Linked DNA regions of Neodiprion lecontei. The protein of the gene in region 2 purifies or fractionates together with the protein of the main gene of each other region. This does not show direct contact. Links are inferred from orthologs where the notes say so. Each region holds a gene or a part of one and is shown on either strand. Other genes may lie near its edges.

Region 1 (8,056 bases), on a different chromosome or scaffold from region 2:
AGATTGTAAAAAGTCTGTTAATCAAATAATCAAAATAATGTGGCAATATTTATTACTATTATTGACATGGTACCAGATTTTCACGACAGACGAGTCAAGTTTTTTTACACACAATAATTGGACTGTGTAAAAATAACGTATATTTTAGAGTTTTTCGACGTCTCCAATTATCAGACATTTTCTTATTAGTCTGTATGGTTGTGAGAACAAAGCACCACTTGAGTCTCATGAGAGCCTTTAAATACAAGGTGAACGAGTAGTCTGATTATTACGGAAAGCTCCAGTTATTGTTCTGTATGGGTGATAAAAGTAAGCATTCTGCACGCACATGCAACTTTTCGAAGGAACTACTAATGATATATACATCCTTTAAATCACTTCCAAAATATTGCGATAAAAGCAAATCCAAGGTGCTAATTCAAATCAGGTGTAATAGTATCATAACTCATAACTACTATACAACTATTCTAGGCGGCATAACGTGTACATCTTGTCTACGTGGTAGATAAAATATTTGTTCTTTTCACCCGATTAAACAGCATCAGGAAACATTCTTACCTATATAGATTAAAATCTAAATTATTCTGCATAAACATTTGTTAAGTGTCCAATTGAAGTAACCCTTCTTATACCAGATGTTTTTGTTCTTAGCGACCTTTTTTACCTTGTAAACACATTCGAATTGTTTTCTATTAGTAAGGCTATCAACGTTGCATTTTGAATAATAAATACCATGCAAACACTGAAATATAAACATACCTATATGAATCATTTTTTACCCTAAGATTCTATTACACGAACTCATAATGTCTCTATGGTAATGCGTTTTTGTGCTCGGAGCTATATACCTATGATCATTCTTTAAAGGCTTACATATTATAGTTAACTTATGAAGCTATTACACCGTCTTCATCAACGTTAACAATAATGTATGAAGGGAATATTAATTTTACTTGACTAAATAAAAAATGACTGAAGAAAACAACTACGGAAACATTACGAAAATTGGCGAAAAAATACATATGCCACAGCCTGAAATGTTATGTGATTTTTTGCAAGGTATATCTCATAATTAATAGGCAAAATTATACTTATATTACGCTCTATCTGAATATCAACGATTCGACTAATTGTTACGAATACGACTTTACTTCAAGCGCCTGGAAATTAATGACCTTGTACAAAATATTGGAACTTTGTGGCATGATCTATGTATCGGAATATTTGTCTGATGATAAATACGTTCCTTTATTCACAAGCAGATAAGAAATAGGTATTAAAAGTTTTACGAAAAAAAATCTTCGTAAAGTGATAACTCCAATAGGAAATTCAAGCAGATAAATTCTACCATATCAAATTGTATCCATCCTATTTCTAAAACTATCTGATAGATTCTATCAAAGTATATAATTAATAACTCTGTAGAGCTTATCGTTAAGCCTGCTCTCCGTGACTGAAATTCTCTTGTAACAATGATAAGCTATAAATTTTGGCCAAAATAAACGTCAAAAATTTGTAGAAAATATCTACAACTTAATTAGGGTATATACAGTTAGCAAAACATCGATATTACGCAATGTTTAAGCTAGATAGGCACTGATTATTGTACAAAAATATTTTTCAATTGAAATGGTTATCGTATGATCTAATCTTTCTTAACCGTAATTTCAAAAAATAAATACCTAAAGCTCTTCGAAAAATGCGACTCGAGCTTTGGTAGATCCAGACTTCACTTTTTTCAGCGTACTGTATTTATTTTCACCAAGTCGCACCTGTTCCTCGTGTAGCTGGTCCAGCTCACACTGCTTTTCACCAACCTTCATTACCTCAATTTCAGATCGTAATTCACGTAATTGTTCTTGAAGATGCTTGCTTTTCTCCCAATAATCCACCCGTTCTTTTTCTATTTCAAGGGACAATTGATCGACATCTCCATCGGCAATAAGATCATATGACGTAAGGTCCGCTGGAAGAGGTTCTGCGTCCAATTGCAACGTCTGAAGATCGGCCTGTAGTTCAGATGGTAATACTTGTGTTGACGGGAATAAATTTGGTACAGGCTAAAGTAAATAGAAAAGAATTCGTTATTTACTAGTAGTGAAAATGTAATATGTGCAAATTTTCAGCCATTTGCTACTGTTTGAAGGCTGAAAGTGGATCAGACTATATTAAACTATTGCATGCATAGTGTATCTTAGAAAAAAAATTCAATAGAATGAATGTAAACTTACAGTGATAGATGCGTTGTAAGCATTTCTGCTCAAAAATTCCAGCAACTTTTCCTTAGCCTCTTTTTCAGCAATTCGAGCACGTAGCAGTTCATCTTTCAGTTTTTCGGCTTCAGCTGCTCGTCGTTCCGATTCTTGAACTAATCTCTCTGTAAGAAGCTCAGCTTCACGAGTTTTTCTCTCTAGGTGAACTTTTTCTTCCTCCGTTTTCATATTATTAAGTCGTATACGAGTTATCTCTTGTTCTGCTTCCGTTGCCTTTTGGCTTAAAAGCATAGCTTCTTCCTCAGCAACGCGACTCTTCTCTGCTAACAGATCTGCTGTCTCTTCAGATCTTCTCTGTAATAAGAAGTATGGTGAGACAAGTAATTTGTTGCCATTACCACTTGTTGTTAACAGAATAGGTAATTGGCTAACAAATCTTTAACACCCAAAAAAATGTTACCAATGCTTCGTTGGCAAGTCTTATTTCTTCTTGATACTGTAACAACCGTTGTTCCATTGCTGCCTTTTCTCTTTCTGCAGCTTCTCTTAACTGTTTTTCCCGGGCCAGTTTGTTTCTTTCGATCTGCCTCCTACATGTAAAATAATTCGTATCAATATGAAAAACAACGACACTCTGGGACAACATTAGTACAAACAAAGAACACAATATACCAATTGTGTTAGAAAACCTGTTAGGAAATAGAACACACGTGTTAAGTGTTATGCAGAAGCACTGATTAGATCATTCCTTAAACAAATACTTTTGTACTATTTTGTTGAATACATGCCACATGTGTTTTTATCTTTTTCCTAATTACTGCTGCGCAATATAATGTTGCAAATGTATTTGAGGTCAAGGTTAAATGACTGAATCAAACAAATGCAAGTTCGAGATTTACAGGTTCTGCTCCATGGATCAATAACTAGACGAATTTTCCTCTTTCAAAATAAAATATATAAATATTATAATAAGTTCTTTATGGTATATGTTAAAATATTCAGAACGGAACACAGTTTGAAAAACATCAAGAGTTATGATGCAGAAATGACCGTTGTTATATTTGTGAGCTGAAAATAAGCTTTCCAGGTACATGACAAATTGTACCAACTAATATGTGAAATAAAAATAATTGTGTGCTAAGAAATACAATTCTGAAAAGTATTAATTTAGGAATGATGCAAAAGCTAATGGTACATACAAAAGTCTCGATAATCTTATGCTTACCTAGATTTCTCTTCCTTGGCCTGTGCTTTCATTTGCTGTACCTCCATTGAGTCTGGTTTACGGCGACGCATGAAGAGGTCGTGGTTGCCAATGCACAAGTCCAGAATCTTAACAAATAAGAACCGTGCGGCTTTTTCACTACAATGCTCGTCGACCCCTATAGCTACCAAGCCCTTCACCCAGCTGCCAACATGTGACTGTTTTTTTACCAGTTTGTTCATGCGAACTTTCTGCGAGAAGAAGACAAAGTTCGGTGACGACTTCTCTACAGGTTTGATTACAAACTTCTTGTCATCGAAGCTGATATGCCGGATCTCTGACCAAGTGAAAGTTGTCTTAGGTGCCAGCTTATTCTCCTTCTCATAGATGTTCAACCCAAGTGCTGTAACACCGAGCCACAAGTCCGTTTCCTTCTTGTTCTAAAATGAAGAGAAAAGTGCTGTTATTTGCCACATATAAAAGGTGTCAAATTTTTTTTTATGATCACTACAAATCGAACATGTAGATGGACTGAAGGATGCTTGAAGAGACTTAGGCTATAGAGTTTATCTGTTGCCGCTTTGTAGTTGATTTGCCAATGGTCCATGAATTTGAAGAAGTAGAGTTATGCACTTGCCCAATTTATCAAACATACAATATTTTCTGTCTTTGAGAATACGTCGGTAAGTATTAAATGAATTATATCTTTCATACTTACGCTAATAGGAAAATAGTTGACGCCATACATATCCAGATCTTGGGCAATCTTTAGATATTCCATTTCAGCCTCGTCACGAGACATTCCACGGTGATCAGCGTACCAAATCTTGATTCTATCTTCCCACATTTCAGGAGTCATTTGATATTGGTCAATCACTCGTTGTGGCAGAAGATCTTCGCTAGCCAGCATTCCTGGCCGGTATGATACCTCGTCGTAATCACCATACTAGGTTTAATATAATAACACCCACAGGTATTCATTATCAATATAGTGATGATACATTTTGACATCTCCTCGACAGATTTTACTCAATATTTTTACACTCTGGACTTCTTCAGCAGTTTTAAAGGTGCTTTGTAAGCGAGGCAATCTCAAAGTGAGAAAACCTGATATACGAACCAGATAGTAATAAACTGTGAACAACACGTTACTAAAAATCACACTAGTTAACAATAAAAATTTCGATTACCTTCGCTTGCACGGCATACGACGCAAGTAGTACAGAGGCTTCAGGTGGACAGTAAATATCCATAGACAAAATGGCTTGCTTCACTTGCAAAAAGAACAAGTGTTGCGTTACCTCTTGAACAAGTTCCTCAGCCACATCTTCAGGGTAGAATTTTGCGAGAAACATAAACGGCGTCGTTGGTTGTTGTGAAATTCCTTGGTCCTGGACTAGAAATTTATACATAGATGAAGTGCCAAGTTTTTAACTTGTGTTAATTGAAGGATAGAAAGCACAGAAACATTACCTACTTGCACATCCACCATACCTATTTTTTTTTCGTTAATCTTTTTTTTATCACGTGACATAATATTGATTAGCATGAGTGATCGATTGTTTTGTATTTGTACTAAAATTCAAATGCATAGATATTTGACCGCAGTCAGAAGAACTAAGCAAAACGCTTAAATCCCATAGTAACTGCATGGACTAAAAATTATTGACAGTTCTATGGAGAAAGGCTCCTACCAGTGGTTTCATCGAAAATATGTTAACTACACCTGCTCTGGAAGTTTGGTGCAATGCCAGAACATATTTTGTGCTCTTGGTTTTGACACAGGTGTAAGAAGAATATAACTATTGAGCCTTTTCTCGAAAATTCGTAAACGCACCCAAATTCTAATAGCTTTAATATAAGTTTAGATCAATCAAGGAATTGAGCACTGAGCTTTGCTTAAATTACAAAATAACAAGATTACAAATCTTCCTAAAATCACTGTTATCATCTTATATTATCTCTTGGGATCTAATAACAGAATTTGCAGTGCATAGTCTCTTGTGTTAGGTATAATAAACCTGCTAGGCAGGAAATTGAAAAAAAAATAAGACTTCACTTTCTTTCAATAGCAGGAAGTAGGTGTGTAGGCAGTTCTTTTGGTAGCGTTGAATAAAATTGCGAATTAAAAGGATAAATAGAGGAAAGAATGAGGGAGATACCTTTCTTGTCCAACTTGAGCCAAGAAATAAATCCTTTGGCATCCTCATACTGAAGTCCAAAATACCAGGTCTCTCTGAGACCAATAGTTCGGCACACTAAATCAAATAAGTCTCTCCCAGTGGCTCGCCACTAAGAAAGGGAGAATTTTACAATGAAAAACATTCGAATGACATGGAGGATAGGAATCATTACGTAACACATTGTTCGTATAATTTGGGAACAATGTTTTGCAACAATAGATTCCAGAAGCTAACCTCCAAATTGAACTCAAGCTCGGCGTCCAAAGTGCAGACTTTCACCGGAAACGATTTCCCCGATTTTTTCCTACGAAACGGTGGCATTTTATCCTTCATTTTATTTATTTGACATCACGATTATTACATTTTTTTTCTTCACCATATCACTTATTTATTTATAAGGAATATACGTCGACCCACTCGCAAGAGAAAACATTATGTATTTTTTTCTCCGTCTTCTCTCACTCACTTTGACACGAGAGTAGCTACATCTGACACAGGCAATTGGAACCACCCACGAACGACCATTCTCTCACACTGACCTTAGCTGTCGGCTGCTATCGGTTGTTACGTATACAAATTTCCCTCGAATTAATCTCAGAGGTCAGATATTCACTTCAGTAACACAAAATTGTACCCAAAAGCCTTGCTACTACCTCTAGAAATTGGCCCAATTTTTTAAGTATATATTTTCCGGAAATGCAACAATCTTCGCCAAAGTATGAGAAGTTATTAAATTCGAGGTTAACAAATGCAAATATGTTTTAAAACAGATTTTCTCCGTAGTCCGCTTATATACCGAATCGGTATTTATCTGCATTAAAAATCGAATCTTATCCAATTTAATTCCATTGCTATTTTAGCCAAAAGTTTCGTAAATAAGCATAATAAATTTGCAGAAAATTCATAATCACAAAGCGGTTGACAGCTCGCGTTTTGATGGATTTAATTGACGCGTCTCTGTAAATTCATTCTAACCAAAATTGATCCGTAACCTGTGACAAATATTAAAGTTTTCGATGGTCAAGTTGGAACAATTCAAATACATACTGGAACTAAGAGATGATTTTGAACATTGATAAAAAGCCGCGTATTTCAATGATTTCAGGTACAAAATTCAACATGGTGGTCAAGTGAACGGAGTTGTTAACCTTGAACTCTTTGAACTCTATCAGGTCAAAAATCAACATAACATAGCCAATTGCTTTCATGTATATTTTATGAATGAAAATAGTAGCGTCATTACGGAGCGTGTTATGGTTTATTATTAGACAACAATAGTTATGGCTGAAAAAGGAGCGTATTTAACGGATACAGTCAAGGCTAAACCCTCGATTTTTGAAATTGTTGCGCAAGAATCTTTAGCCTCTACACTCGAGCCAGTCTTCAAAAAAATCATCTCGGTACGTCGCAGGCTCGTTTTTTTCATTATTATTATCCTGTAATTTGTTACATAGTGAATCTTATACACAGTATTTCAGTATTTGGTGTTGGTCAATCCACATCGATATGGATGGCTTGAAAGATGGTGCGATGAGGCGTATCTGGTTTTTAATGCCGCTCTACAATATCACTATCTCAAAAAATATTGTAAATATATTGAGCAATTTTTTTTACGTTTCTAACTAATTTCTCCAAATATTCGTCAGCCTAATCAAATCCATATTTATTTCAGCGGCATCATTCTCCGAAACATTTTATGGGTTGAAACGTTCTTCAGTCGTGGCAGGTTCAGATGGAAAGTTATCTACTAAGCAAGAGAAAATTTCTTTATTGCTGTTAGTCGTCTTTCCGCACTTCAGAACCAAATTATTTAGGCTTGCGGAAGAATATAAATTGGAAGTTGCTGATGGTAAAATACCTCAGAAGGTACGTGAATTCGAAAAGCTATTTATATAATTTATAAGCTTTGAATATGCTTTTTGTTGTCATCAACAGTACAAACACTTTAATTTGTTCCACATTATTTAAATAACTAATTTTTTTCAGCGATGGCAGAAACTTGTAAGGAAATTGGTAATAAATGGAAACATGATATTTCATGTTATTTATGAATGCCTAATACTCTATCGGTACCTGAGGTACATGGCTGGACGGTCAGAATATTCAACTCCGCTTCTTTGGCTGGCTTCTGTTACATTGTCTTACGCAGATGGTAAAAAATTCCTCACCATCACTGACCTTCTCATGAAGATAAGACTCGGAACATTGACCTTCAGTAATGGCATAGATTTGTTTGGAATGCTTTTTACTAGATCACTTGAATTTGGAGCTTTCTTTCTCCAGTTTCTTCGATGGTGGAATCAAGAAAATTATTACGTAAACCTGATGGCTCTGCCTACACCTGTGCCTCCTGAGGTAAATGAAAGGTATACTTACATTTGTCTTCAACAAAATACGGGGAGTTCATATTCCCTCTCCTGATGTTTTTAACAATGTATGCATCATGTTCCGAAAAA
Region 2 (4,998 bases):
CAATATCATCAGGGATTAACATACAGGATCAAAAATCGGGACACTACATGTTAGACACTGTGTATGTAGAACCGGGATCTGTATTCTATAGATATAGCAACACTACACATGCAATATTCATTTGAGAAATATCTTTCCCAAGACTGCCTCTAGGCGCGTGGCCCTTGGCCGTGGATCCGTCAGGCTTCACAGTTTATGCGTGGTTCGTATGCTCAACCATTTTATATGCGCTCACCTTCATATTGCATGTGAATGAAATGAGTTATGTGTTGTACAGGACGAAACGACAAGGTGAATTTAATTTACGCGCGGCTTCTATTGGACAGCAAAATCATGTGATCACGGTCGAACGATTTTGTAGAAAATCAATCTACTCGAGAATTTCAGCCTTTTCCTTGGCTTTCGTACAGCATAATTAATGCTCTACGAAATCTACAGGCACCCGAATGCTCGCCCTCGTTTCAAATATCGAGGATCCTGCACGGTGCATTTGAATTTGTGCATATATTCACGAATCGTCAACAGGTGCTGCAGACCATCTGGAATTGCATCTCACGACAGAATATAGCAAACTGACTCATCGACCGATTGCCGACTAAGATTCCATCTTAAAAATTATCCACAGAATCAAAAATACCCAAGGCAATGAATACGAGTATTTGAACGTGGGAAGAGATAATTCCTTGTATATATTCGTCGATGAAACTCGAATTCCGTATTAAATTATACACGGAGGCGAAATGAGTTGGAATAAAGTACAGATAAAAAAAAAAAAAAAAATGAATAAATAAAAATAAAAATAAAAAAACGGCGGACACACGTCGCTGTGATGACGGCGTCAGCTAGTAATAGCGGGCGGGTTTATTCGTCCCTGCGTAAGACAGCAGCGAGCGAGGGGTATAAAAATGAGAAAAAACGAAGAAAACAAACGTAGAACGAAGGAAAAAAAAAATAACGAAAAAAAACGACAAACGTGTTAGCATTCCTCGGCAGGTTGTAGAATCGGCGCGCAGAGGGCGCAGCGATCGTCGTGTGACGGAACAATTCCGAGGCATGTGTGGCGTATTTGGCTTCTCAGCCGCGTAGTAGGGTGAGAGTTGCGCCGAGAGTTGCACCTGTCATGAAATTCTCTTATCGTACGGTGGCGCCGTACAAATCGTATCTGAAAATATTCGAATTTCTCGCGTAAAGGGCAACGCCGGTGTTCGGCTTTCTCCGCTGAGATTCGTGCGCAGCGGTCAGAGACACGAGAACGCATCGCGTGGTGGGGACGGATTCCAAAGCGCGGAGAGCGGCCGCATGAGCCGAAGGTATCAGGCATGTCTCAAACTCCGAACATGCTCCTAGGTAGCAAGAGCTAAGAGATAGCAAGACCGGGTACATCTTGCTTTTGAGCCGGTACTCACTTTTTTTCACCTCCTATTATCGAAACTAACGTTCGGCGATTGTTTTCTTCTGTTATCAATATCAAACTCCTATCGTCGAATCGGTTGTTGTTTGTTTGTTGTTTTTTTTTTGTTTTTTTTTTTGGGTTTTTCGCTCTATTCGAAGCGTTTTGCACTTGGACCGATATCAAGTTACACACGATCCTTACATGTTTAAAACCAAACTATTGTCACCCCGTCAACGATCAATCTTCTACGTCATGGAGGGAGGCAGGGAATCGACGGGGATTAAAATCGTAATTACGACCACAGAGTAAAGAGGTTTTTATCCGTTCTATTCTAAACAGTATTACGAAGCATGTGCATAATAAAATCGCCGAGATAGGGTGGAAAGATCGTCGGAAAGATTCCTCGTGTTTTCGACGGTGGGGGGGTGGGGGGGAGGGGGGCGGGGGGTTGAACGTTCAACACATTCGATATTGATGATAATAACATAAACAAACGAATAAAGAAAGAGAGTAACGAAGAAAAATACTAGTGTCCGAAAGTGTTGGGTGAAGTTGTTCGTTTGAATTTAAAAAAAAAAATGCATAAATAAGAAAGCAAAAAAAAAAAGTGACAGTGCCGAATAGTGTTGAATACGGAGTGTGTGCAGTGGTGGCCTTTTACCGGTATACTTAAACACGTATAGTATAATAAAAAGCAAAAACAAGTTTACTTCTTTCAAATAGAAACGTACTAGCGGTGAAATTTTTTTTACAGCAATAACTGAGAAAGCTAGAGCAAGACAGAGATAGAGAGGGAGATGCTTAGGAGTGATGATCAGACGAAGGGTGAACCTAATCGTTGAACGCATAATCGAGCGGGTAATGCTGTGCGAATGAATAAATAAAGAGTTTCGATACCGGGGGTCGTCTCGACGAGGAGGAGGACGACGACTACTATGTCAATACTCGCATACCGTTCGCGAGGCGTCTGAACGGTGCCGGGATTGGTCGTTCGGGGCGGTGTGACGTCACTCCCGCTCATGATAATGAGGTATTCAAGATGGCGGCGGGCGAGTAGCTAGTGTTTTACGTGTGTGTGATACCAGTTGGTGATACCTTTGGATGGATTTAGAGCTAAGTGAAATATGCCAAGGAGAAGAAATGGGGAGATACCGCTTCCGGACGGCTGGGATGTCGCCAGAGACTTCGACGGGAAGGTATATTTCATCGATCATAACACGAGGAAGACGACTTGGATCGACCCGAGAGACAGGTACGTTCGTTTGTGTATATTACCTACCATGCAGCAGCCCGCCTCGCGTTTTTTCCTCTTTTCATTCCTCTTCCCTCCTCCCTCTCTCTCTCTCTCTCTCTCCCCTTTCGTTTCTCTTTCGTCCATTTATCCATCCATCTATCTATCCGTACATCCGTCCGTCTATCTATCACAAAAACAACGACGAATCGGCCTCCGCGTGTCCGACTATCTTCTTCCTACTTCTGCTGCTACTTTTGCCGCCGCGCCGCTTGTCGGCGATGCTGATGTTCTCCTTGTCGCTTCTCGGCTTCGTCGTCGTCGTCGTTCCGAGGCGTGCGTCTTTGCTTGTGTTGGTTGCGTACGTTACCTCGCTCCGCTCCGTTCACACACGCGCGCCGCGCCCGCATTCCATGCAACAGGGCCGCACTTACAACGCCCGATTGTAACGCGGCGAATCCGAATGAAGTATCCTCTTTTCGTTCTTTCTCCGTTCTTTCTCTCGTCTATTGCCGTTTCGATTCTATGCTCGATTTTCGACATTATTAGCAGCGCCTCGCTTTAATTTCACTCCTCTTTTCAATGTTCGGATACACGCTTATTACACGTCACTGTAGGACTTGTATAACGTTCGAATGGCTGCTCGATTTCGATCCATTCGAATCTTGGCACGGTGAGAAATTTTTATTTCTTTCCTTCTTTTTTACTTTTATTTTTTTTATTTTATTTTATTTTAATTTTTTTGTGTAAAGTTGATCAATTTCTACATTAATCTTGACGACTAATATGTCTCACGTATACGCGTGTACGTAACGTTTCGAACTGGTGTTGTAAATTTTTCTAGACGGATTTTTCCTCGTTTTGCATCTTTTCATCATCTTTCCTTCTACTTCTCTATCTTTATCTCTATCTCTATCTATATATCTCTCTCTCTCTCTCCACTTGACGTTCAAGGCCACGTGGTCTCACTCCGCATGCCGCGCCGTTTACAGCTGTTCCCCGAAATTTTTCGACCGTAGATCATACTTAAATCATACTGTAACAGCATGGATGTATGTACAGATTTTAATTCTAAACCGAACTTCGCCTTGACTCGAATACATCCGGCAATGAGTCGAGAAAAACATTCGAATTATATCAACGAGGCTCGAATTGAATGATACGAAATTCTCGCTTTTTCGTTGCAATACGATATTTTACATATGTATCGTATCGACGATGCCGAAGGGCAAACCTAAACGAATCTGAAGTTAGTAAAGTCAACGTATAAAGAAATATAAGAGAAAAAACTTGTTATTGTGCAATTTTAGGACGACTCTCGAGGAGTTGGCTTTACAAAACGTGAGCATGTTTCGTTCTTTTATGGTTTACTAAATTTCGGACAATCCCAAAGTGGCGAAGTAGCGATTTTTTTCTGAACACGCATCGTTGCAGTAACGTTACTAGTAATTGCGTACGGAACAACGCGGATCGTTGAGTGCAGAATTATCAGATCTTGATGGTTGACATGATTAGATCGATCGTTCGTATTGCATTACACACCTATGTAACAAGCATGTGGATTATTAAAGGACGATTTACAATTAGACGTCAACGATGGAGAAATATTATTGTCAAGCTCTGAGCTTATAATATGCAGATAGCTCTGTCTATGCAAATTCTTGTATAGAGGTTATGTATACACATATACATTATATATTGGATGCATTCTTAAATAACCCTCTGCTTATGCCGCTTCTGCTGATGTAGATTAAAGTTGTTCTCGAGATTGGCGTGTCGCAGTTTGAAGTGATGATCGTGTACAATTATTCTGAGGACAGATCAAGACAAATGTGCTGCGCACGAGATCCCCCGACTTTACGTCTGCGTAGTAAATTATTCTACCTATAGACGTTATAATTAAAACAAAAAATTTGCCTTGGATAAATGTCACCGCGGCTTTTCAACAACTGTGACACGTTTTTTATCCCTATACAAAGCGCATTTTTAAATTATAATATTGGAAAACGCGTTCGATTCTAATAAAAAATACAACAAATAACGAATTTTATTCTTTATTCGATCGTTATTTAACTCTAAACAAATTTCAAGTATTTTGCAATATTTCTTTGTGCAATACATGCTATACGGTATTATTATATGTATAAAAATGAATCGCCATAATTTTTGTACATCATTACACATATGATCCTCTGTGTGATTAATATTTTCAATAATTTGTATTACAAAAAACTTTTGTACAATCATTTTTCTCGTCTTCTCTGTATATTTATACGCGTACCGTTTATTATTCAACGTTCTTTTTATTTCGTTCAATTTCATTACCCGCGTATACACGATGCATGTATAATTCATTTCGGAAGAAAGAAATTAG

The links.
Region 1: the proteins of protein kibra (region 2) and merlin purify together in Drosophila melanogaster (affinity purification with western blotting; 3 studies listed by BioGRID). This does not show direct contact. The link is inferred for Neodiprion lecontei from reciprocal best matches to the Drosophila melanogaster genes kibra and Mer.

What each region holds. Positions count from the first base shown.
Region 1 is NC_060262.1:33,686,370-33,694,425, forward strand, and holds the start of merlin, read right to left. Parts: upstream 6,095-8,056; 5' UTR 5,934-6,094; coding exon 5,835-5,933; intron 5,710-5,834; coding exon 5,580-5,709; intron 4,814-5,579; coding exon 4,608-4,813; intron 4,364-4,607; coding exon 4,136-4,363; intron 3,858-4,135; coding exon 3,439-3,857; intron 2,804-3,438; coding exon 2,674-2,803; intron 2,568-2,673; coding exon 2,232-2,567; intron 2,061-2,231; coding exon 1,683-2,060; 3' UTR 1-1,682. Other genes in the region: peroxisome assembly protein 12, read left to right, coding at 6,881-7,000, 7,079-7,187, 7,273-7,466, 7,587-7,955. UniProt on the Drosophila melanogaster protein: Regulator of the Hippo/SWH (Sav/Wts/Hpo) signaling pathway, a signaling pathway that plays a pivotal role in organ size control and tumor suppression by restricting proliferation and promoting apoptosis.
Region 2 is NC_060265.1:8,748,980-8,753,977, forward strand, and holds the start of protein kibra, read left to right. Parts: upstream 1-1,834; 5' UTR 1,835-2,423; exon of another isoform or gene 2,424-2,504; 5' UTR 2,505-2,517; coding exon 2,518-2,645; intron 2,646-4,998. UniProt on the Drosophila melanogaster protein: Regulator of the Hippo/SWH (Sav/Wts/Hpo) signaling pathway, a signaling pathway that plays a pivotal role in organ size control and tumor suppression by restricting proliferation and promoting apoptosis.